Saccharomyces cerevisiae S288C: one gene and its partners. Changing the gene in region 2 together with the main gene of any one other region gives a genetic interaction. Each region holds a gene or a part of one and is shown on either strand. Other genes may lie near its edges. The genes, in order: DUR3, PPT2, GLO4 and FMC1.

The links.
Region 1: mutations in PPT2 (region 2) and DUR3 together harm fitness more than expected from each alone (negative genetic interaction), as found in Saccharomyces cerevisiae (3 studies listed by BioGRID).
Region 3: mutations in PPT2 (region 2) and GLO4 together harm fitness more than expected from each alone (negative genetic interaction), as found in Saccharomyces cerevisiae (2 studies listed by BioGRID).
Region 4: mutations in PPT2 (region 2) and FMC1 together harm fitness more than expected from each alone (negative genetic interaction), as found in Saccharomyces cerevisiae (2 studies listed by BioGRID).

Annotation. Positions count from the first base shown.
Region 1 is NC_001140.6:68,019-77,932, reverse strand, and holds DUR3 (Dur3p), read left to right. Parts: upstream 1-3,688; coding exon 3,689-5,896; downstream 5,897-9,914. Other genes in the region: deubiquitinase OTU2, read left to right, coding at 1-503; YLF2 (Ylf2p), read left to right, coding at 619-1,836; 40S ribosomal protein uS10 RPS20, read right to left, coding at 2,156-2,521; YHL015W-A (uncharacterized protein), read right to left, coding at 3,151-3,234; YHL017W (uncharacterized protein), read right to left, coding at 6,059-7,657; MCO14 (4a-hydroxytetrahydrobiopterin dehydratase), read right to left, coding at 7,863-8,225; APM2 (Apm2p), read left to right, coding at 8,385-9,914. UniProt on the Saccharomyces cerevisiae protein: Required for active transport of urea.
Region 2 is NC_001148.4:271,794-277,232, reverse strand, and holds PPT2 (holo-[acyl-carrier-protein] synthase), read left to right. Parts: upstream 1-4,417; coding exon 4,418-4,939; downstream 4,940-5,439. Other genes in the region: NOP53 (Nop53p), read left to right, coding at 1-1,071; ATP-binding cassette long-chain fatty acid transporter PXA1, read right to left, coding at 1,366-3,978; ATG5 (Atg5p), read right to left, coding at 5,039-5,439. UniProt on the Saccharomyces cerevisiae protein: Transfers the 4'-phosphopantetheine moiety from coenzyme A to a Ser of mitochondrial acyl-carrier-protein.
Region 3 is NC_001147.6:405,379-408,421, forward strand, and holds GLO4 (hydroxyacylglutathione hydrolase GLO4), read left to right. Parts: upstream 1-1,685; coding exon 1,686-2,543; downstream 2,544-3,043. Other genes in the region: HIR2 (Hir2p), read right to left, coding at 1-10; casein kinase 2 regulatory subunit CKB2, read left to right, coding at 390-1,166. UniProt on the Saccharomyces cerevisiae protein: Thiolesterase that catalyzes the hydrolysis of S-D-lactoylglutathione to form glutathione and D-lactic acid.
Region 4 is NC_001141.2:174,322-181,866, reverse strand, and holds FMC1 (Fmc1p), read left to right. Parts: upstream 1-1,627; coding exon 1,628-2,095; downstream 2,096-7,545. Other genes in the region: glucose-induced degradation complex subunit FYV10, read right to left, coding at 1-1,440; SGA1 (glucan 1,4-alpha-glucosidase), read right to left, coding at 2,214-3,863; XBP1 (Xbp1p), read left to right, coding at 4,617-6,560; YIL102C (uncharacterized protein), read left to right, coding at 6,980-7,285. UniProt on the Saccharomyces cerevisiae protein: Needed for the assembly of the mitochondrial F1-F0 complex at high temperature.

The DNA of each region.
Region 1 (9,914 bases), on a different chromosome or scaffold from region 2:
CTTTAGAAGCATCCAAACAACCGGACTTGAAAAAAATGGAGCAGGAGTCTATAGATCAGTTATGCGAGTTGAAGAAACTGAAACAATTCGATATACAACCCGATGGCCACTGTCTCTTTGCATCTATATTAGATCAGTTAAAATTACGCCATGATCCAAAAAAACTGGATCAAGACATGGATGTCATGAAGCTGAGATGGTTGAGTTGTAATTACGTACAGGAGCACAGGGATGATTTCATTCCATATTTGTTTGATGAAGAAACTATGAAGATGAAAGACATTGATGAGTATACGAAAGAGATGGAGCATACAGCTCAATGGGGTGGTGAAATTGAGATTTTGGCTCTCTCTCACGTTTTCGACTGCCCCATTAGCATTCTGATGAGTGGAAGACCTATTCAAGTGTACAATGAATGTGGGAAAAATCCTGAATTGAAGCTAGTTTACTATAAACACAGCTATGCATTAGGTGAGCATTATAATTCATTGCATGATTCTTGATTTTTCCCATCCGTATCTAATGAGATATGCTTATTTGTAAACCTTAATGCATCTATTTAATTGTATAGTTTGAAGCATATGGATATAAAAGAATAAAGAGAAGTAATAATCGGATATGAACATTGGTGGAGGAAAATTTTTACTTGGGAGGATATCGAATAATCCAACTTCAGGGATAGTAGGGCTTGCTAATGTTGGTAAATCGACTTTTTTCCAAGCAATAACAAACTCAAAATTGGGAAATCCTGCAAATTATCCATTCGCTACCATTGACGCAGAATGTGCCAAAGTCAATATACCTAGCGTGCCGCTCTCTAATTTATTGAGAATATATCAGAGTGCGAAATGCGTACCTGGAACACTCACAATATATGATATTGCTGGGCTCACCAGAGGCGCATCTCAAGGCCATGGTTTGGGTAACAAGTTCTTAAACGATATCAGACACGTAGAGGGGATATTTCAAGTGGTGAGAGGATTCTTAAAGGAAGACATCACCCATATAGAAGGTAATGTTGATCCTGTCAGAGATCTATCCGTGGTACAAGATGAACTCATCTTGAAAGACTTAGAATTTCTGGAAAACATTAGGGAAAGACTTAGTAAGAAGATGAGAATGGTTTCGAAGAATTCTAAAGAACATCAGGAAATGAAGATAGAGACAGAATTATTAGATGCATTAGAGGAACATTTGTTTAACGGTAAAAAAATCCGGCATTTCAAAGATCATTGGAACCTGGATGAAGTCAAAATTTTGAATAAGCATAACTTTTTAACCTCCAAACCAACTTTGATATTGCTAAATGTTTCACCTCAAGATTACGTTAGGAATGAAAATAAATTTGTCAGAAATATTATAGAATGGATTAACGAATTTTCGCCAGGAGATAAATTCCTACTTTTCAGTGCAGAATTTGAATCGCAATTGATGGAATGTAAAGGCATAGCGTCAGAGTATTTTGACAAGATCAAGGAAGATACCAATGTTTCTGATCAACAGTTAGTTTCTGCGATACCGCAAATAATACTAGAAATGAGAAAGTTGTTGAACTTAATTAGCTTCTTTACATGCGGCCCACAAGAAGTTCACCAATGGAATATAAGGGAGGGAACCACCGCTCAAGAGGCCGCGGGTGTAATCCATAGCGACTTGCGTGAAACATTTATCAGCGCTGATGTAATAAAATATGACGATCTGAAGAAGATGGAACCACCGCTAAATGAGTCTTTACTAAAATCTAAGGGACTTATCAAACGTGCAGGCAAACAATATATTATGCAGGACAATGACATTGCCTTATTCAAAGCCGCCGGTGGGAAAATTAAGAAATAGTTTGTCATAAAAAATACTTGTAAATATGAATAGAAACGCTTGCTTTGTTTTGTCTTTTCCAATAATTACACAAGAATCAACAAAAGTATGAGATATATATATATATATATATATATATATTATATTTGCATAAGGTTTAACCACTGATAGTAAGACAGAGGTATATCGAGGAACTGTGTTTACCTAGAGTGGGCTGATTCTAATAGTGCAGCTATATGCGAAAATGAGAAAAAAGGAACCGCTGAATTCAATAATATATTTTGGTTAATGGACGAGAAAAAGAGGAATCTAATGGAAATTATTTCCAGTTAGAACCAGCTTAGTTGGAAGCAACAACAACTTCGACATCCACACCAGGTTCAATGGTGATTTGAGTGATTCTCTTAACGATTTGAACAGGAGCTTCCAAGTCGATGTATCTCTTGTGGATTCTCATTTCGTAGGTTTCCCAAGTCTTAGAACCTTCACCATTTGGAGTCTTTCTGGTGGAGATCTTCAAAACCTTGGTTGGTAGTCTGACTGGACCCTTCTTGACCAAGTTGTGTTGTTCAGCGTTCTTGACAATGTTGGAAGAGACGTTTTCCAATTGCTTAACCTTGGTGGAGGTCAAAGTGATTCTAATCTTGATGATTTGTTGTTGTTGTTGTTCTTGTTCTTCAACCTTTTCCTTTTGAAAGTCAGACATTTTGTATATACCTTTTTGTTTATTTTACTTGCTTTCTTGTAGGAGTTTCAATCTAAAGCTGAGCTTGAATGAAATAACCCATCTTTACTATTATTTTGAATTCAATACGGTCTATTACTCAATCTCTGAGGCTAGTCGCGAATGCGTCGAAGTTTTTTTTTCAAAATTAAAACATTATCGTTACCCGAACTTTATCTTCATAAAAATAGTTGTGGCATTTTTTCTCTTATGTTTACGGATGTAGAAAATGTACAGGTGTGAACTTGCAGGTAAACATTTTTACATTTTTACTTTTATCTTTTCCCCTTCTATAGAGATAAAAATAAGAAGTTTCAGGGAAATCTCTCTTTCCATAGTAAATAGTGTTAGCAGCAGACAAGACAAGAAGGATATCAATGACGATACGCATTTTTCCGAATGATCTGGTCAGATAATTCTTTTTTTCCCTTTATCGGGAGGTTTTGATGAGAAAACGATGTCAATAGTATTCTAGTCACAATAGGGAGCTAGACGGCTATTCAATCAGAATGCGACTATCCGGAGTTATCCTCAATGATAGACGTTTCTCCAGTTAGGAGCGCCAAGAATGTGTGAACAAAATGCACAAGGTGCAGATTTGGCGCTCTTTATCAGCGCTTCATACGGTAGATATGAACTTTAATTTTGAGATTAGCCAAGACCAAAGGTTCTCTTAAAGATGCAAAAGCAGTCATACAGGTATTTGTTTTATGCAGCAAGGCTGACTCAAACTAGGCATTCCAATTCTGTTTATCTATTGGTGCCGCACCTTTTTTCCGATGATGAAATGAGGCGGCGCACATTTGGGTGTTATCTTATCGGGATATTTTATGATAGCAAATGCGACAGACAATAATGCTCGAGAGTGGACAGGCCAATAGTCAGTTGCAGCATAGAAACAAGCAGGCGTACCTATGGGAAAGGTGTAACTCATCATTGCGCTTTCTACGGTACGGTTATCCTTAGATAACAGGCAAGATGTGCTCTATTCATCGGTGTTGCATGAAGATACGTCTTGTTCGCCAAGTATATAAAATGAAGCAGTAGTATAGCCGTAGCTTTACTATTGTTAGCAGTTTCCCTTGTCTAGATTCTTAAATTGGGTTCATCCAAGAAAAAGTAATAACATAAATTTGTCATTGTTATAGTATGGGAGAATTTAAACCTCCGCTACCTCAAGGCGCTGGGTACGCTATTGTATTGGGCCTAGGGGCCGTATTTGCAGGAATGATGGTTTTGACCACTTATTTACTGAAACGTTATCAAAAGGAAATCATCACAGCAGAAGAATTCACCACCGCCGGTAGATCTGTAAAAACCGGCTTAGTGGCTGCAGCCGTGGTTTCTAGTTGGATCTGGTGTTCTACATTGTTAACGTCGTCAACAAAGGAATATGCAGACGGTATATTTGGCGGTTATGCGTACGCTGCTGGCGCATGCTTCCAAATTATTGCATTCGCAATTTTGGCAATTAAAACCAAGCAAATGGCTCCCAATGCGCACACATATTTAGAATTAGTGAGAACAAGATATGGTAAGATCGGCCATGGTTGCTACTTGTTTTATGCCATCGCGACGAATATTTTAGTCACTTCAATGCTTTTAACTTCAGGTTCTGCTGTCTTTAGTGATTTAACCGGGATGAACACTATCGCATCATGTTTTTTACTGCCTGTGGGTGTTGTTGTTTATACTCTATTTGGTGGGATTAAAGCAACTTTCTTAACGGACTATATGCACACATGTGTCATTATCATCATTGTCCTCGTATTTGCCTTTAAAGTTTATGCGACTAGTGATGTTTTAGGCTCACCGGGAAAAGTTTATGACTTAGTTCGTGAAGCCGCCAAGAGGCATCCAGTAGACGGTAACTATCAGGGTGAATATATGACCATGACATCCAAATCCGCTGGTATTTTATTAATTATTAACCTGATTGGAAATTTCGGCACCGTTTTCCTTGATAATGGTTATTGGAATAAAGCGATTTCTGCTAGTCCCGCAGCGAGTTTGAAAGCATATGCCATCGGTGGGTTAGCATGGTTTGCAGTACCTTCTTTGATTTCATTGACCATGGGATTAGCATGTCTTGCGGTGGAAACGTCTCCGAACTTCCCCACCTATCCTGATCCACTTACTTCGTTCCAGGCAAATTCTGGGTTAGTCTTGCCGGCAGCTGCAATTGCTATCATGGGTAAGGGGGGTGCTGTGGCATCGCTGCTAATGATTTTCATGGCCGTCACATCTGCTATGTCTGCTGAACTAATTGCCGTTTCATCTGTTTTCACTTACGATATCTATAGAGAATATATTGATCCTCGTGCAAGCGGTAAGAAATTGATTTACACATCACACGTTGCTTGTATCTTTTTTGGTCTTGCCATGAGTGGATTTTCGGTTGGTTTATACTATGGTGGTATTTCTATGGGTTATATCTATGAAATGATGGGTATAATTATTAGTAGTGCAGTATTACCTGTCGTTTTGACCTTATGTTCCAAAGACATGAATTTGGTGGCCGCTGTAGTGTCGCCTATTTTGGGCACAGGACTGGCTATAATGTCATGGCTTGTCTGTACCAAATCCCTTTATAAAGAATTGACCGTGGATACTACGTTCATGGATTATCCAATGTTAACAGGTAACTTGGTGGCTTTGCTATCACCAGCCATTTTTATTCCTATTTTAACGTATGTGTTTAAGCCACAAAATTTTGACTGGGAGAAAATGAAAGATATTACTAGAGTTGACGAAACTGCAGAGTTAGTTCAGGCTGACCCTGATATCCAGCTTTACGATGCTGAAGCTAACGATAAGGAACAAGAAGAAGAAACAAATTCTCTGGTCTCAGATAGTGAAAAAAACGATGTTAGAGTAAATAATGAAAAATTGATTGAGCCTAACCTTGGTGTTGTAATAAGTAATGCCATTTTTCAAGAAGATGACACACAGTTACAAAATGAATTAGACGAAGAACAAAGAGAACTAGCACGTGGTTTAAAAATTGCATACTTCCTATGTGTTTTTTTCGCTTTGGCATTTTTGGTAGTTTGGCCCATGCCCATGTATGGTTCCAAATATATCTTCAGTAAAAAATTCTTTACCGGTTGGGTTGTTGTGATGATCATCTGGCTTTTTTTCAGTGCGTTTGCCGTTTGTATTTATCCACTCTGGGAAGGTAGGCATGGTATATATACCACTTTGCGAGGCCTTTACTGGGATCTATCTGGTCAAACTTATAAATTAAGGGAATGGCAAAATTCGAACCCACAAGATCTGCATGTAGTAACAAGCCAAATTAGTGCGAGAGCACATAGACAATCATCACATTTCGGACAAGTTGATGAAATAATTTAGCTTTCAAAATATAATATTCTATCCACTCATCAACCTCATTAATAATTTTTAAATAGCTCTAATTATAAAATAGTCTTTCATTATAGGTACATAAAAGAAAAGAAAGTCAAGGGGAAAAAAAAAAAAAAAAGGAAATTTCTAAATTTATGTTATTTGGTCCGTTTATGTAGTACTTCTATCATTTTTTGCATCTCTGTCGTAATCTACGTCGAACAATACGTCATTATTTGCGTTCGTATTTGCATTTACACTTGGCACTTCTTCAAAATCGGATGCTAAATCAATATCCATATTGTGATCGTGTTCCTGGTAGTCATTACGTGGCTCTCTATTAGGCAATGCCTCATCAGACAAGGAATTTATGTCATCTAAATCGAATTCTGATACATTTTCCATGTCAGTTGGTAATTGATGCGAGCACGCTAGTAAATATGATGTACTTGTAGGTCTCCAGAAGAATGCGAAAATGACGAAGACCAAGAAGTAAACGAAACTAGGCCAAGTATCTGTGATGAGGAATTCTGTTTTCCAATATTGTTCTATCATGTCAACAGTGTCCATACCGACGTATGCAAAAGTAGAGACTAGTAAGCCTAAGAAGAGTATAAACAACGAAATATAACACAATATGATCAGTTTTCTGTACATGTTTAATTTCACCACTTGGTTTTGTTCCCTCAAATAAGTCATTGTTTTGTTCATTGAAGACAGTGTCAAATAATAGAAAGCGAATAGACATAATACTAAGGGGATAGCAGTAATCAAAATCAAATTGGATAAAGACTCAGAATTCTGGGAATATTTTTGGACCAGGAATGCAACGCACACTGCAAACGTAAATATCGCAAATATTTGACATCTTCTTAGCAATGTACGGTCCAGTTTTGGATATACTATACCATATCCAAGAGATATCAGCAAGGCGAGGAGAAGCGTGAAAGTCATCTTACCGGCGCTAAAGATCGATATGAAAACCATATAGACATGAAGAGCGACGCTGGAGTTTCCCTTCTGGTTCTCAATAATATAGTACATCCAGACGAAAATAGTATCAGCTGTTAGGAAAATACAAAATACCAAAATGTACCTTTGTAAAGGCAGTAACTCATGTCTATGCTTCCAGCATAGCCAAGAGTACACTAATGTACAGACGGCATAAGCGACGGCCAAAAAGGCATAAATAGGCATCTTGTACGCCTCTGAAGCGTCCAATTGACCGTAAGCGTTCCTAAAATTCACTGTAGCCTTAAACTTGGAACTGGAAGAAATGAAAGATGACGTGGTCACACAATAGTAACCAGTTTTGTTAATTGAGTATACCTTGTCGTTAGTGCCCAATTCTTGTTGAGTGAAAGTCAAAATCTGACTCGTTAGCTTATGTTCCTTACTGGTGAACGGATCGATGGCTGTCTCTTGAATGATAAATTGCCCCTCCGACGAATCCTCACAGAGGCCCAAATCCAATGCGTAGTCATCGCAAATATACTGAATTTCTCCATTTGGTAACCGCACACCAATATGCTCATAATCTTGGAAATCAAACACAGCAACACTAACCCCCTCGCCATCATCGTCTTCATCAGCAAGTGACAATTCCTCCAACGTAAACGATATATAGGGGTCAACTTTTCCATTGAAATCCTCCTTGGAATACATCCCTGAACAGACATCGTGATATTTTTGATTTATGCTTTCTTGGTTCCCTTGAACTACCCCACAGAGTAGCAACAGCCACGTCAGTAATAGCCACGTTCTATCCATTTTTCTGTTCGCTAGTTATTGTGTCTAGTTTGCCCAAAAATGATTTACACAATACAGTTGAAATTTCAATACCTTTTTTTTCAATTTTCAGTTTTTCCATGTTGCAATGCGAGAATGGGTATGGGTAGCAAAAATTTCTAGTAGTAAAATCGATAGGAAAAAAAAAATGGAAAGAGCAATAGCCTTTTAGACCTGCCCTGCCTTATCAAGTTGTCATCTCATCGATGTAGGAATCTATTCTCTTGGCCATCCGGACGTCTATATCGCTAAGCTGGCTGTGAGCCCCGTCTTTCGGGTCTATGTCATGCGTATGAAGTTCCAGCTTGACCCAGGTGTAACTTGTGTGAATCAGGGGATGGTGGCCCCATAGATGAGATCTCATCGATACACGAGTCAAAAAGGCCCATGTGGTTTCGTAGTCCTTGAATGTTACCTCTCTTGTTATTCCCAAACATTTGGTCTTATTAGGGTCCCATTGAACTTCCCAACGGGTCAAGGGTTTTAGCTTCTCGAGTAGTTTGCCCCCTGTGAGTGCACTGGACGCGATTCTAACAATCTTGTTGTGCATTGTATTCTTACTTTGGTTTCTTTCTGCTTTTGGTAGGTTGTGTTTACTGTTTTATAACTGGAAGGGCTTAAATTCCAGATTGGAAAATTGAGAATGCCTTGGACAAAAAGCAAATAAAGGGACCCAAAAATAGTAAAGAGGAAATCAGGAAGGAAAGGCATGTCGTCAAGCCTTTTTATCCTGGATGAAAATCTGGAGCCATTGGTATCGAAGAATATTAGAGCACTACCGAATCTATCGTCGGTTCTTTCAAGTTTCAAACAATGTTATCATGACGGGTCGCCTCCAATTCTCTCCCAAAACGATTGGTTCTTTATACATTTGAAGAGAGACTTTCTGCATTTCGTTTCAGTGATACATACCACAGACAAACCAAATATAGACTTAATGACTATACTAGCCTTTTTGGAACAATTTTATCATCTTTTACAAAAATATTTTGAAATCGAGGTCTTAACTAAGAATGTCATACTGGACAACATCTTACTTGTCCTGGAGTTGATTGATGAATGTATAGACTTTGGTATCGTACAAGTGACGGATCCAAGTATCATCAAGGACTACATTCGTGTGAAGGTCAACGTACCAAGAGTTACAGTAGACAATGAGGAGTGGAGCCCTGGTGAAGAGAGCAGTAGTAGTAGCGGTAGCGATAGCGATAGCGAGTACAGCAATACTAATAAGAGGAAGGATAAGAAGAAGAAAAGGAAGAAGAAAAAGGGCACTAAAGGGAAAAGCGTGGGCAAAAGTAAATTAAAAAGTATAATGGTAAACAATAAAGAAAATAGGGGCATAAACGTGGTGGAAACTGTCAAGGAGACACTAAGGAACAAGAATGATACCGGTAAAGAAGCCGCTAATGACGAGCTCCCCAATGACGGTAATGATTTATACATCAATGGCGATATTGCGAAGACGATTATAATGCCCATATCATGGAGAACAAAGGGGATACATTACGCCAAAAACGAGTTCTTTCTTGATGTTATTGAACGTGTTCAGTACTTGATGGATTTTGAAAAAGGAGTGATTAGGAAAAATCTGATACATGGAGAGATTGTGTGCAGATGCTATTTATCAGGGATGCCCAAACTGAAAATATCCATAAACAAGATACTGAACAGGGACCCCCAGTTCATGTCGAATTCCAGCTTTCATCAGTGTGTTTCACTAGATTCCATAAACACTATTGAAAAAGATGAAGAAAAGAATAGTGACGATGATGCTGGTTTGCAGGCCGCCACAGATGCAAGAGAAATCGAATTTATACCGCCGGATGGCGAATTTGTTCTTTGCCAATACGAGTTGAAGAGACATGTAAAGGATGCGCCGATGGTGAGGTTGAAAGATTTTGAAATCAAACCTAAACTGAAGAAGTTTAAAATCCAAATTGTAACCAAAATTCAAACAAATTTTAAACCCACCAACTCAACGTCGAAGCTAAACGTGAGAATTCCCCTGACAAAAGTCTTCCAGGAATATAAAATAGACCTCAGCAAGCAAATTAGATTCAAGGCAAACATCGGCAAGGTCGTGTTTAACTTGAGTGACGATTTTCTCCTCTGGGAGATACAAACCATGAAGGGGCACCGAGAACATAGCACAAACAAGAGCTCACAGTACAACAGCGACGAAGATGATCCAAATACGTGTGCATCCATGGTGGCAGAGTTCCCCCTCTTCAACCAG
Region 2 (5,439 bases):
ATTGCAGCACTAAATCACCATAAGAATAGTAGTGGAAATCCTAATAAGATTCAAGGTGTTTCTAAACACGAATTAAAGAAATTAATGGCTTTGGCTGGCAGAGTACACGGCGAATCGAAGATCAAGAATAGAGTTGCCAAAGACGGTCTAGTTAAAACAACGGCTGGCGACTTATGGGGTGAAGAATCCAATTCAAAGAAACAGAAGGTCAAATTACCTTCCGGTATCAAACTTGATGTGGAAAAAAAGGACCAGATACCTGAAGAACTATTGAAAAAATCCACGACAAGTTGGTCTACTGCTTCAGTCAGACCAAGTACTTTAGATATAGAGCCAATTGCAGTAAAAGAATTCACAGAAATTCCACATGCTGGTAAATCCTACAATCCCAACAATAAAGCTTGGTCAGAATTGATAAACAAAGAGTATAAAGAGGAAAAGGCAAGAGAAGATGAAAGAATCGCCTTGGAAAAGTACAAAGAAAGAATTAGACATTTAATGGAAACTTTAGATGACAATGAAGAGGAAGAGTCTTCATCAAACGAAGAAGAAGAAGAAGAAGAAGAAGAAAATGAAAATGAAAATGAAAGTACGCAATGTAGTGGATCTGATAAGGAAATAAAACTATCAATAAATAAGCCTGTGAAGAATAAAAAGAAAACAAAATATCAAAGAAACAAGGCAAAGAGACATGAAGAGAAAGTAAAATTGCAACAAGAGTTGAAAGAATTGAGACAACGTGTTAAAGATTTAGAAGAAGTTATCAATTCTGAAGAGACTGAGATACTTTCAGCCATAGAGTCAGATAGCAACAAGGTTAAAAAAAGCAAGAAAAATAAGAAACACAAGTTAGGGACGAAATACTCTGTGATTGATGAAAGATTGGAGATTAAATTTTCTGACGAATTATCTGACTCATTGAGAAAACTGAAACCTGAAGGAAATCTGCTATATGATACTGTGAGAAAACTACAAAGTTCTGGTAAGGTCGAAACAAGAGTGCCCGTTAGGAAAGGTAGAAAGTATAAGCAGAAAATCACTGAAAAGTGGACACATAAGGACTTCAAATAGAGTTTTTTGTTTTACAGTATATGTTTCCATGAAAAGGTTGTCCTTGATACGTGGATTCATCAAGTGAGATATATATATATATGTTCATATTTGTGTTGGCAAGACCAACAACTGTATAGTAGGTAACAAATTGTTTCATTTTCTTTTCGTTCTCTGCCCTTTTCTAGTTTGAGAGGGCATTCCCATGTCGATATCTCTAGATATCAGTTAAACATTCAAAAGTACAAATTCAGTTACGGAAATAATATATAAATTATATTCGCTAAATAAAATCTCTCCCTTTCTAGGGTGTTTTCAAATAATTTCAAGCTTTTCCCGTAGCTTCGTCCTCTCATCTTCCCAACCTTTTACTCTTTCTAGTTTTCTCTCCAATTCCTCAATCTCGTTGTCAATCGACGTGATTGCTTCATCGGTACCAACTGCCTGTAATTGCCATTTGCCATCTCGATTTTCACCGATCTCTAGTAACATTTCATGATATTTGATTAATGTGGGTCTTTGTGATATGGAAATGAAATTGAATCTGTATCGTTTTAAAAGATTGAACAGATAGTCTTCCATGTCAACACTAATTGCGTTTGTAGCCTCATCTAATACTACGTATAGTGGTTTATGAAACATGATTCTAGCAAAATTTACTCTTTGCTTTTCACCACCACTTAATAAGTCCTTCCAATCGGCAATGGCATCTAGGTAAGTTAAGCCAACGCCTCTTTTTAAAAGATAATCTAGTTTCACTTCGACTAATATCTGTACTAGCTCCTTATCTCTAAACCCCCTATCAAAGAATTCATCCGAGGACATGGGGTATATAATTTGGTCTCTTAAAGTTCCACCTCTACTAAAATATGGTTTCTGAGGAATAAAAAAAATATTATTTTCTGAAGGAATCGACAATAATCCATTTTTGTTATACACTGGCCATATTTCAGCTATAATGCGTTGAATTGAACTTTTACCGCAACCATTTGGCCCTAATATTAACAGGCTGGAGCCAGAACCCTGCAAAAATGGTAACTTTATATCATTTGCCTTCGATAAGTCTTGTATAGAATTGGACTTTGAAGTTATTGGGTCAATATGCAAAGGAATTTGAAATGTAAGCTTGTTAATCAGCTTTATGCCTTCGCTCGCCCTTACTGATGGAATGATTACGTCTATATTTTCTAACCGAATACCGTTAAAATTGCGTTGAATAGTACCACGAATAGCATCTTGCGAATTATCCGTGGTGGGTAATAAGTTGGAATTTCTGGAAGCGTCTTCTGTACGTATTGACAGGATTGAAGGAACAGCGCCGTAATTAAAGTTCAGAGAGTGAACCCTGTGTAAGACGGAAAGCAGAGTAAATATCCTATTAGTGTAGCCGGTCAATTGTGAGATGTCCTTTATCGAATGCATCAATCTCGAGCCTGCATCTGCAAGCGACAACATCAACCTTTTGTTGACTATAAATTCCTTCATATTTTTTTCCTCTGAATTGATGCCTGTCGCTAAGGTAGACATAACGATAGGGATTGAGGCAAAAACATAACCCAAACCGGACCATGTATATTTTAAAACATAGTCTTCCAACATATTGTAACCAAACTTGACTTTATCAACCAGCAGCATTTTTTCCATCAGCACATCATACAACTCTTTAACTTTCGTCCTTTCCACTGCTGTTCCTTGGTAAAATGCGATCTCTTCGCTATTATTTATCATGTTTAGATGATAATTGTAGTAATCGCCGTCTGAAGCAGATCTCTCGCCTGCCAATTTACCTAATGGTGGCGTGTATTTCCTCAAAATAAACCCAGTAATGAAATAATTAACAAATATACCTGCTACTCCCACAGTTCCCAAATTATCACGTAAATAAACCGAAAAGAATATTAAATCAATAACTGGCTTTGCAATGTTTGCAAAAACGGAGCATGTCGCATCGCAAAATTTTGCAACATCATTAGTAATGGAGTTGTCGATATTCTTGATTACCGAATTGGACGCCTTTGCATCAAAAATTAATTTGTAAAATGTTAGTCTTTTATCCAAATACATGTCATGGATGTAACGTGTCAAATTTACCCTAAAGTTTAAACTCAACTTCCTTTGAAGTAGCTTAATAGCACTATTAGTATAAGAAGCAGGGACAGCAATTAAAAACCAACACCCTAAGTCCCACAGAAAGCTTCTTCCTCTACCAGCAATTATATTTTTGACTATTTGTCCATCCAGCTTGGCTACAAACAAAGAGAGCCAAGTTCTCATCACCAGGAAAAAAATTTGAGCAGTTAAAAGAAGAAAGTTTTTGTCAAAAACTGTTGGAATTAAAATTTTAGACAAGACGTTCATTTGGTTTAAAAATTTTGAGTAGAATAACTGCGAATTCTTGGCTCTTTCCAGTTCTACATTTTTAAAAAGAAACTTATCGTGTTCATATACATCGTTATCCTTTGGTGGAATAAATATCCTTTTCCTTTTTTTTTTATCTGTAGCATTCATAAATTTGTTGTCATCGGGACTCTGGCGGTCGACTAATTCCACTTCAGGAATATACATTATTCTTGCACCACTGTCTAATTGCATTTGAGATCTTGTTCTTCTTATTAAAGGTCTCCTATTCCTTCTCTTCCATGGAAACTTGTAAAATTTATAACATTTTAGAATAATTTTGAAAGTACTATATGTTACACCAGAAAAAAGTGTGACACCAGATAGGAAAAGCGATACCAATAAAATCTGGGCCCTTCTTCTTAGCTTAGGATGAGCAGCGTTTGATCTAGATATCTGTAGAAGATGCCGTATCAATAACTTGAAATATACTTTAGGTGTGACATCGTTAACGTGTAGCCCAATACAGTGAGTATGTAGATTCAGGAGCAAACTCTTTAGTTTCGCTGGTGCTGCTAATGTTGTTGACATTTCTGTGTTATGCGTTCTAAGACTTCCAGATTGTCTGAAACGGGTTTCATTGTTAGTCTCACTTCTTAGAGAAGCATTCTTATATATCTTGACTCTAAAAGGGCTGAAAATAACCGCCGAAATTAAAAATTGGGGTAAAAAAGGGTAACGAAACTTATGCGGTTAAGCCCGATCAACATATAGCTGAATATTGCGTCAAGAATAATTTCTTAATCGGGATTATTTCCGAAGGAAGAAATTCTATTGAAAAAAAAATCTTAACATCAAAACTGCTTATATACATTCCACAGGTTCAAGCGGTCATAAGAGATCTGACTTTTGATAGAAAAGCTAGTTCTTTAAGAAGGCTGAATAGAAGCTAAGCACTATTTTCTTATCAGGAGTATTGCTTTCTAATGAACGTTTATTTCATAAGTGCTAGCTTTGAATGCCTCCAGTGATGAGTTTTGCATCGAGGAATATTGGACGTAAGATAGCAGGAGTGGGAGTTGACATTGTATACTTGCCAAGATTTGCACATATACTAGAGAAATATTCCCCATTCGACCCATGTGGCCGTTCTACCTTGAATAAAATAACACGGAAGTTCATGCATGAAAAGGAAAGATTTCATTTCAGTAATCTTCTCATCGAAGAAAACTGCTTAACTCCACGATTGCATGAATATATAGCGGGAGTTTGGGCTTTGAAGGAATGCTCATTGAAAGCGTTGTGTTGCTGTGTTTCAAAGCATGATCTACCTCCTGCCCAAGTACTGTACGCTGGAATGCTATATAAAACACAAACCGATACAGGTGTACCTCAGTTAGAGTTTGATAAGATGTTTGGAAAAAAGTATCCAAAGTATCAACAGCTCTCGAAAAACTACGATTCTCTCTTTTCCACTCATGAGTTTTTAGTTTCGCTATCCCATGATAAAGATTATTTAATTGCAGTAACAAACTTGGTAGAAAGAGAGTAAAAGTTTTCTTGCAGCCGTATAAATGTGGCCCTATTTTCAACGTCCAAGTTATTTTCTGCGATATTTGAATGACACTTTTAAATGCGTATATAACAGCTCTTAGAGCTCAGAGGAAGCTTTATCGCCGCCTTTTATAGGAACAAGAGTTATGTACAAAAAGCCATCAAAACTTCGCAATTTAGAATACAAATCATACAGGAGCATATGCCAAGGAATTTCAATTCCTTGACAAATAACCATGACATCATTACCATTGATTCCTTCCTTTACGTCCAGAATATCGCCTTCAATATCCTTCAACGTAGGATTGACTCCAGTCATACTGATAGTTGGTTGTGATATTCGAAAAGTTCCTGATGTCCTTGAGGTTTGAATGATGAGCGGTATATGTCGCGGTCTTGATGAACTTATCTTGTTAGATATTTCAATGAAATCTTGGAAATTTCTCGTAATAACACTGCCCCAAAATTTTCGAGCTTCGTTGACCGATAAAGACATAA
Region 3 (3,043 bases), on a different chromosome or scaffold from region 2:
ATAATCTCATTGTTCCGGATTGTGTAGGAACTCCTTTGCTGCGTGGCGTATTCCTCTGTATGGACGATTTAGCACTTTTTGTATATTGTTTTATGAAGACTTCATAATTCTAGCCGAATTAACTGATATTTTTTTCGCGCTTTTTTTTGTCGACCTTCCAGGAAGAAAAAATATGAAAGCGAATAAATGGAGGTGTATTGGCAATCCTTTATCAAATGAAAACAAGCACCAAATAGAATAAGTAAATCACATTCTTAAAGAAGTTGGTCATTCCAGATACGTGGAATTTTCCTGCTGTATTTTTTCATCAATCTTTTACTTGAGAAATACTAGCTTTTTTCAAATTATTCAAGATTAAGGGACTTAGAGAACTGATAGAAAAGCAGATCATGGGCAGTAGATCGGAGAATGTGGGAACAGTGACTAGAGAAGGCTCCAGAGTGGAACAAGATGATGTCCTCATGGATGATGACTCTGACTCATCGGAATACGTGGATATGTGGATCGATTTATTTCTTGGGAGAAAAGGCCATGAATATTTCTGTGATGTCGATCCTGAGTACATCACTGATCGTTTTAATCTGATGAACTTGCAAAAGACAGTTTCAAAATTTTCCTACGTGGTACAATATATTGTGGATGATTTGGATGATAGTATCCTAGAGAATATGACACATGCCCGTTTAGAACAATTAGAATCAGATTCCCGGAAGCTGTATGGTCTCATCCATGCACGCTACATTATAACTATCAAAGGATTGCAAAAAATGTACGCTAAGTACAAAGAGGCGGACTTTGGAAGATGTCCCCGTGTGTATTGTAATTTACAACAGTTGTTACCGGTTGGTTTGCATGACATTCCTGGTATAGATTGTGTCAAGTTATATTGTCCATCTTGTGAGGATCTTTATATACCAAAATCATCGAGACATAGTTCCATTGATGGTGCATACTTTGGAACAAGTTTTCCAGGTATGTTTTTGCAAGCATTTCCAGATATGGTACCCAAACACCCAACTAAAAGATATGTTCCAAAAATATTTGGATTTGAATTACATAAACAAGCTCAACTGACAAGGTGGCAAGAACTACAACGACTCAAGTTAGTTGAGAAACTTGAATCCAAAGATGTTGATTTGACGAAAAGTGGTGGTTTTAAAACCTAACTATTAAAGAAAGAAGAAAAAATTCGAAATGAAATCCTAGGCGAAATTGAAAACGAAAATGAAAATAATGGAGAAACTTCGTCATAAAATTGTGAAAATCAGGTATCATTTGTTCTCCTAGCATTTTCTTTCCTAGAATATTACTATTTTCTACCTCCATTCGTATTTTACTTTTCCTATTTAATATTAAATTTTTATATACCGTTATTGCCCCTTACGGCAATAATACAACCAGATAAAAGAGCGTGCTCCGAAGTTAGCCTGTTATATATCAACAATTTGCAAATGTGGTTACCCACGAATTATTGGTGTTATTTTAGTGAATAGCTTGAAATCTTTGAATGTAGGAAGCATCCTTATTTATCAAGAAATTGGAGAAGTGGCGGCATCGCGTGGAGACTGCCTATGAACTAAGAGGCGGTTTATATTTTAAAAACTCAAAAGCTGTTTGAAGACTAATCTGGAAGTACTGAAAAGAGGAGATTTACTCATTCTTTGGTGCAGCAAATTTCTTTCGGCATGAAGTTTTTACTGCAGCAAATAAGAAATATGCATGTTAAGCCTATAAAAATGCGATGGTTGACAGGTGGTGTCAATTATAGTTATTTACTAAGCACTGAAGACAGGAGAAACTCATGGCTGATTGACCCTGCAGAACCACTTGAGGTGTCGCCAAAATTAAGCGCCGAAGAGAAAAAAAGTATTGATGCTATTGTCAATACACATCACCATTATGACCATTCGGGGGGGAACCTAGCGCTTTATAGTATCTTGTGCCAAGAAAACTCAGGTCACGATATTAAAATAATTGGTGGATCTAAGTCCTCCCCGGGTGTCACTGAAGTACCCGATAATTTGCAGCAGTATCACTTGGGTAACTTAAGAGTAACATGTATTAGGACTCCATGCCATACAAAAGATTCCATATGCTATTATATCAAAGATTTAGAAACAGGTGAGCAGTGCATCTTCACAGGCGACACTTTATTCATTGCCGGTTGTGGGAGGTTTTTCGAGGGCACAGGAAGAGATATGGACATGGCCTTAAACCAGATAATGTTAAGGGCTGTTGGTGAGACGAACTGGAATAAGGTTAAAATATACCCTGGTCATGAGTACACCAAAGGCAATGTTAGCTTTATCAGAGCAAAAATCTATTCCGATATAGGGCAGAACAAGGAGTTTGATGCGTTGGAACAGTATTGCAAATCTAACGAGTGCACCACCGGTCACTTCACCCTGAGAGATGAACTAGGTTATAACCCATTCATGAGATTGGATGATCGTGCCGTTAGACTAGCAGTCGGCGATACTGCTGGGACTTATCCCAGATCCGTAGTGATGCAAGAGTTAAGAAAGCTTAAAAACGCTATGTAACTGGCATGCAGTCTAAATATTTGCAAAGTATGTCTGAAGGACTAATGATAGGTGGGTCAGGATATCAGCTTAATCCTCACCCATGAAGAAGAAGATATGTCAAAAGCCATATTCAGTAATTGGTCTATTTGTCTCCGTTGTCCACGCTTTCATAGCCATAGAGGAAAAGGCGTAGAAAGTTCTATATAACAGAGTATTTAGTATTATATTCCCGAGGTTTTAGGAAAGAAAGAAGAAGAAAGAGAAGGAGGAAAATGGGAAGAAACTTAAGATTGAAAGTGTGAGAAAAATGAATGGCCCTCTCTTTATATAGTGTTCAAAAAATTGAACAGCGATTTATTGTCATCACAGACGTTGAGTCTCTCTCTTTTCCTATTAAAATTAATCTTAGCAAGTAAGGGCTTGGAGGGAAGATAGCGTTGAGCTGTGAAGTCGATCAAATAAACAGCTTGAGACTAGTTAAGTAGCCACCCCCAGCAAAACGATATTGCCAAATCAAA
Region 4 (7,545 bases), on a different chromosome or scaffold from region 2:
GGCCAATTTCTTCAATTTTTTACTGTCGTAAACATTTCCATTTGGTAATAGTATTGGATTTTCAAATAATTGAGACTGAATGTGATGAGCAAATGGTAATGCCTGTGTTATTGGTTTGAAAGTCTCACTGCAAACGGGACAATTTTTCCTTTTTAGTGAATGTAGCGTAAAGAGTTGTAAATCTTCAACTTCTTTCTCTGCTGTTGTGGCAGTTTCCGTCTCTTGATTTCCATTTTCATCGTCAGAAGGGTGCAGGCAATCTCTTGTCTTCAAAGACGATATACCTAGTGACAGGTATATCAATAAAGGGTCATTTTGTGATATGCCATACATGGAATAAAAGTCGCTCAAGAATAAATCATTTAATACCGACCATCTTTGATCATCTAATAAATTCAGATATCTTTCGAAATCTCCACTTTGTAAATTTATTAAGGAACTCTTGTCATAGTCTGTTGTATTCACCGCAGGTTTGGAGGTAATTCTAGGTAAAGATTTGTGAAAAAAATGTTGAAATATTCGATCTTTCTTCATTGGTAAACTTTGAGACTTAATCTCTTCAGTATCGAATCCAGAGCTGGTAGAAGAAGTTGGCTTTTGATCATTACAGTATTTGATAAAAATCAGAAGTCCAGATGCTAATTTTAAATCGGTGAAGTTGCTCTTAACGAATGGTAAAAGGAATCTTTGAAAACATACTATAGCGTCGGTATAGTTATCCACCTTTAGTAGTTCAATATATTCTTGCAATCTTGCTTGAAACTCTAATATAGAGGACTTTTTGGTCAGTGTCTTTTTGTTCTCGTTTATCCATGAAATTAGGGGTAAGAGATTACGCTCATGTAGTAACGAAGTCGAAATTCTATTAGCCTCCAAGAGGACATCATAATCAATGAGATCATCCAGTTGGCTCTGTTTCAAAAACACTACGCCAGAGTTCCAATGATCCTTTGTCTCCGAGTTGTATTTAATCGGGTTATTCCTCGTCAGATAATCACCAATTAAAATGTTTGTATAACTCTGATACCACTGTATCAATTTAGTCCTGGTACCCTCATTATTTCCATTGTGCGATGTTCCTGAATTTTGTGACTTGATGTCCTTCAGTTCGTGGAAAAACTCCAGCCTTTTTTTAATTCTGTTCAAAATCTGACAGTAGGACTTGATTTGCGTATTTAAAAATCTTTCTATATGGTCAACTTTCCTAATCATTTCAGTTATTTTTGCTAGTGCCAACTCGTCGTGCTCAACGTCATTATGTTCAAATATTTGATTTAATGCGGCCGTGTGTTCATGTAGTGATTTGGTTTCCTTATTAATTACCGCTTGAGTATGCTTGATACGTTTGGACAGTAGTTCATAAGGAATATGAAATAATTGTTGATTTAATTTCAAATGGAAATCCACATCAGGCTCATTAAATATTGATTTCTCTGCCATGGCTTACCTACTTTCCTATAATTTATAATCATTTTCTCTGTTTTATGTATGAAATTGTAGATTTAACCACCCCCTTCTCTTCGCCTTTGCAAAAAGTGAATATCTCAAATTGCACTAGAGTTTCATTTGCAGCGATAAGTGGATAACAAAAAGCTGAAAAGAGAGAGAAAGAGAGAGTGCCAGGGAAATGGATAGACCAAGAACATTACGCACATATAGAGGACTCATAAGAGCCATTCTGAAATATGAAAGGCCAAGCAAGATAGTCAATTGGGGCAATCTACGAAAGGCAATGATAACAAAGTTGGAATATGCTAAGAAACAAAATCAGAGAGACTCGCATGAGAACATCAACAGACAGTTAGAGAAATGGAAAAAACTAGATCCGGTAAGCGACAGATCTTTGAATTTGTTTATAGCCGACTCTAAGTCATTACGTTCCATATTACAAAACGATATAAAGTGGGAGAAAAAGGTGGCCCAGGGACAAAACGTTGACGAGATATTCGAACACGCTTTGGACATCATCAAGTTCTTGGACAACCAAAGAGAATACGAGGAGCTGGTCGACAGATACAATCCTGGCAACAAGTTGACACAGGATGAGAAAGTGAAAAGAACTGCAAACGTGGTTGGGCTGGACGTTCCGACATAGTATCTAATCAATTTATAATATCAGAGTTTTGTAAATAAGTATATATATATATTTGATGTAAATATCTAGGAAATACACTTGTGTATACTTCTCGCTTTCCTTTTATTTTTTTTTTTGTCTACAAACTCTGTAAAACTTCTTGTCTTATTTGATAGGCATCCCAGAATGAAGTATAGGACCAGGTAAGGTGTTGGGCACCCTGCATAAACCCTGTGTATTTGTTAAATTGTTCACTTAGTTCCCCGTCTGTTCCCACGTGAGCTTTCAGCTTGACCAAGAATGAATCAGCTAGTTGGAAGATTTTTTGTATGGTTTGATTGAAGGCAGGTGTATTGAACTCCAAAATCAAATAGCCTTCGTCATTTCCCAAAGTCGTGAGGTTGGAGAATACCAGCTCGCTCCAAAATGCGTTCGAACAATCGTTGTTCATTGGGACAACCAAGTCATGCTGCTCAGAGATGTGTCTGTAAATGAGCTGATAAAGCGTTGTTGAAGCGGTACACGTGGCCAGGACCCAGGGATTTCCCTCGCCAAAGCCATATCCATCATATACGTCCTCAGGATACCGGCCCAGGGCAATACCCGTTGCATTTTTGGAGCTATCGTTGATGGGGTATATCGAACGCATGTGCAACATCAAATGGTGCAACGTGTTCAGGACGGCAGGGTCATTGATATCGAACGGAAGATGGGAAGCAGATGGCGCATCGTGGACGGTGTTCGCAGCTAATAAAGTGGATATGTCCAGTCCGGATCTCAATGTGTCGGCAATCATGGGTGTCCCAACAATATAATTGTACTTGCCGTTGATAAACCCATTCGCAGGGTCCACTAAAAACTTGGAGATGTCCCGGCGTGTCTGACGCAATTCTTCAACAAAGGGAGACGACCGTTCTGAGGCGTTAAAATACGACAGCGACTTGTCCACTGCAGACAGTTGTACCAGTAAAGTAAAGAAATGCATGCCATTGACTTCCTCCCATAGATCAAATCCGGAAGAATTCCAGTGGTCAATAATGAACCTCAGGTCCCAACGTACAATATCATCAAAGATATCTGCGGTGGACTGGAATGGGTACTTGGCCCCCAGATCAGTGCCAGATTGCTTGATGTAGTCGATGATTTTTAAGATGGCAATGCTTCGAAGAGCAGGCCCATCGTTTTGAGGACGACCCCAATCTTCCGTGAAAGCCGTGTTGTCGACGTTCCACTTAGGGTCTCCCAAAGCCACTGTATCGTTAGTGTAACCAATGCCAGCGCCCAATGTGTTGTTGCTTCTTTGCAAGTGGAATGAAACGTTCAGGTACTGCAATAACGTCTCTATTGCCGGGCCCGCAGAATGAGAGACAATACTGTTTATCGTCAACGCGCTGTCCCTTATCCATTGGTAGAAGTAGTCTGGATGCGTTTGCGATGGTGACGCAATCACGACCCCAGGCGAAATAGACGGATACACGGCGCTGGGCCCAATATTTTCAAATATTTTTTCGATGGAAACTTTTTTCTGTCCCTGGAGCCATTCCTCCAGCGCACTACTGTCCCAAGCGCCGTTTGAATCGTATACCACTGTCCCATTCATCAAGACTGCATCCCGCAGCTGCACTTGCGAAGGGCCGTTGTTTGAAAATACACCGCCGTAGCTTTGATCGAGAATGCCCTTGCCAAAGTCAAATTCGTATATAGTAATGTTCTCGAGCGCCCAAGCAAACCCGAATCCTACGCTGAGCATGCCGAGTAATTTGTTATAAAACATCTTTTGTCTTGCCATTTTGCTGCTGTTACTTATTTGAAATCTTGCTCTAGTCCACGATTATCACTATATTGTAAATGTACGATTTCTTGTGTAACAGAACAGATAACGGATCCAGAGCCAAGAGATGAGAAAAAATACGAAATGCGCAGGAGGAAACAGGGAACCAAAAAAGGACCCTTGCTTCTGTGCCTGAGTCCCCTAATTTGTGACTCCACACATGCAGGCAAGTTAAAAGCACCTTGTACGAGTGCTATGAATGGGTGTTACTCTGGCCCGATTTCCCTGACTTTCCTTATTCACCCTCACCCCTAATACCCGTTTCCGCGGATAATGTTCTATGCTTCGAAGCGCCCCCCTTGCGCTGGGCCTCGAACCGCATCCATTGAACAACAGCTTGGCCTTCCCTGTATTCTACCACATCCATTGCTATTGCCCCTCTCCCCTTCTCCTCTCTCTTCTTCTCCACTATACTGTGCTTTTCAGCCCATTCGGCGCGCGAAATCACAAGCTGTATATATACATTTACATATACATATATATATATATATATATGTGCATAAATGTATGTACATATATGAATGCCGGGCCGCGTGGCGTCTGTAGCTTGTGCGTGTACGTGTGTACACACTTCAACATATATATACATACATATATATATCTATTATTCGTGTACTAGTGTTTTAACTTGCTCGTTCTCGGTACGCATCCAGTTCTTCTCCCCACACAACGGCAAGCTCAAAATACCTTATCATAGACACCTTCTCCAACATGAAATATCCCGCTTTTAGCATTAACAGTGACACGGTACACTTAACGGACAACCCCCTGGACGACTATCAGCGTCTCTACCTCGTCAGCGTACTGGATAGGGACTCGCCGCCGGCCAGTTTCAGCGCCGGACTCAATATTAGAAAGGTTAACTATAAATCCTCCATTGCTGCGCAGTTCACACATCCAAACTTCATTATCAGTGCTCGGGACGCAGGGAACGGGGAAGAGGCGGCGGCGCAGAACGTTCTGAACTGCTTCGAGTACCAGTTTCCCAACCTACAAACAATTCAGAGCCTAGTCCACGAACAAACGTTGCTATCGCAGCTCGCTAGCTCCGCCACTCCTCACTCCGCCTTGCATCTGCACGATAAAAATATTCTGATGGGTAAGATCATACTACCTTCCCGGTCTAACAAAACACCAGTCTCAGCATCACCCACCAAGCAAGAAAAGAAGGCTCTGTCAACAGCATCGCGTGAAAATGCCACCTCCTCGCTGACAAAGAATCAGCAGTTCAAGTTGACCAAAATGGACCATAATCTGATCAATGACAAGCTCATCAACCCTAACAACTGCGTAATATGGTCGCATGACTCCGGCTATGTGTTCATGACGGGCATCTGGCGGCTGTATCAGGATGTTATGAAGGGGCTTATAAACTTGCCCAGAGGTGACAGCGTTTCCACTAGCCAACAGCAGTTCTTTTGCAAGGCTGAATTCGAGAAAATTCTATCTTTTTGCTTTTACAATCACAGTTCGTTCACTTCTGAGGAATCTTCAAGCGTACTGTTGTCGTCCTCCACCTCTTCGCCGCCAAAGAGACGGACATCCACAGGGTCTACCTTCTTGGACGCCAATGCGTCTTCTTCATCTACTTCTTCAACGCAGGCAAACAATTACATCGATTTTCATTGGAACAACATCAAGCCCGAACTGCGGGACCTTATTTGCCAGTCTTACAAAGACTTCCTGATCAATGAACTTGGTCCTGACCAAATAGACTTGCCCAACTTAAATCCGGCAAATTTTACGAAAAGAATAAGAGGTGGTTACATCAAAATTCAGGGTACTTGGTTGCCGATGGAAATCTCAAGGTTGCTATGCCTGCGGTTTTGTTTTCCGATCAGATACTTTCTGGTGCCTATTTTTGGTCCAGATTTCCCCAAAGATTGCGAATCGTGGTATTTGGCTCATCAAAACGTTACATTTGCTAGTTCTACCACTGGTGCAGGTGCTGCTACTGCTGCTACTGCTGCTGCTAATACAAGTACCAATTTTACGTCTACTGCAGTGGCAAGACCTAGGCAGAAGCCCAGACCCAGGCCAAGACAAAGATCTACTTCCATGTCCCATTCCAAAGCGCAGAAACTTGTTATTGAGGACGCCTTGCCCTCATTCGACTCATTTGTAGAAAACTTGGGCCTTTCCTCAAATGACAAGAACTTCATTAAAAAAAACAGCAAAAGGCAAAAGTCGTCCACATACACCTCTCAAACTTCTTCTCCAATAGGGCCAAGAGATCCAACGGTGCAAATTTTGTCAAACCTAGCATCCTTCTACAACACCCACGGTCACCGGTATTCATATCCGGGAAATATCTATATACCACAGCAAAGATACTCTTTACCCCCACCAAACCAGCTCTCGTCGCCACAGCGGCAGCTAAACTATACTTACGACCACATTCACCCAGTTCCTTCTCAGTACCAGTCTCCAAGACACTACAACGTCCCCTCTTCACCAATCGCGCCTGCTCCTCCCACTTTCCCTCAACCTTATGGTGATGATCACTATCATTTTTTGAAATATGCTAGCGAAGTTTATAAGCAACAAAACCAACGACCAGCTCATAATACAAATACCAATATGGACACCTCTTTTTCGCCAAGGGCGAACAATTCACTGAACAATTTCAAATTTAAAACAAACTCAAAACAATAAAAATGTCATCTGTTACATTTTTGGTAATATTCTTTTATAATGGTTCTTTAATTTTTTTACATAATTTACATATTATTTCAAAGTTTTTCAAAAATATCCGTACTATATGTTTTTCCAGACAAAACATAAAACATACAATGATCTTTTTGAAGAGAGAATTAGTACACTCATTACAAGGTGTATGACGTGCCGAAGAAAAAAATTGCTTCCAATCGGATTTGAACCGATGATCTCCACATTACTAGTGTGGCGCCTTACCAACTTGGCCATAGAAGCTCGTACTTGTTGGTTCAGTACTCTTCATCAAGCTATACTATTTATCTAGGATGACGGTCACAGTGATTCGTACTCGACTGCTTCTATAATCTGTAGGTGGCTTGCGCATATCCTGAATTATCGTAATTAAAGAACCAAGTTAGATGCTAAAGGTGGAAAAGTTCAAAAAATTGAAGCGATTCGAGGTCTATTATTGTTTAAAAAATTCTTTTCTGGAAGAAGTAGATATCGAGATGAAATATTCCTGCAGTATAACAACTATAATGAGCAATGGTTCAGCAAGCTTGTTGATGAACTGGGAAGAATTAACACCTGGTCACTGTTTTACCTCTTACACAACTAACCCTATCGCAGGTGACTATGGTTTGAATGCATCAGCAATAGACGGCCACACGGAAGAGTTAGTGGCGACCCACCCAGCGGGAACCTTGGAGAATGCAACGCAGTAGGTTCATAGCATTCGCAAATAATGGCATAGCCTCACATTTGCTGATGAAAATGGTACTATTCTGCCACAGTCCTGCTCTTTCTTTACAGAAAATGAAGAACATTAGAATGTTGTGATAAAAATTTAGGGTTACTTATTTCATGAAGGCAGTAATAATACGTATGAAAACATTAGTCAATAGACGATTGATTATTATTCCAACAATAGTATATCTGAACAGCCGTACGCAAAAAAAGCAAATTTAATTGCTGACCATTATTC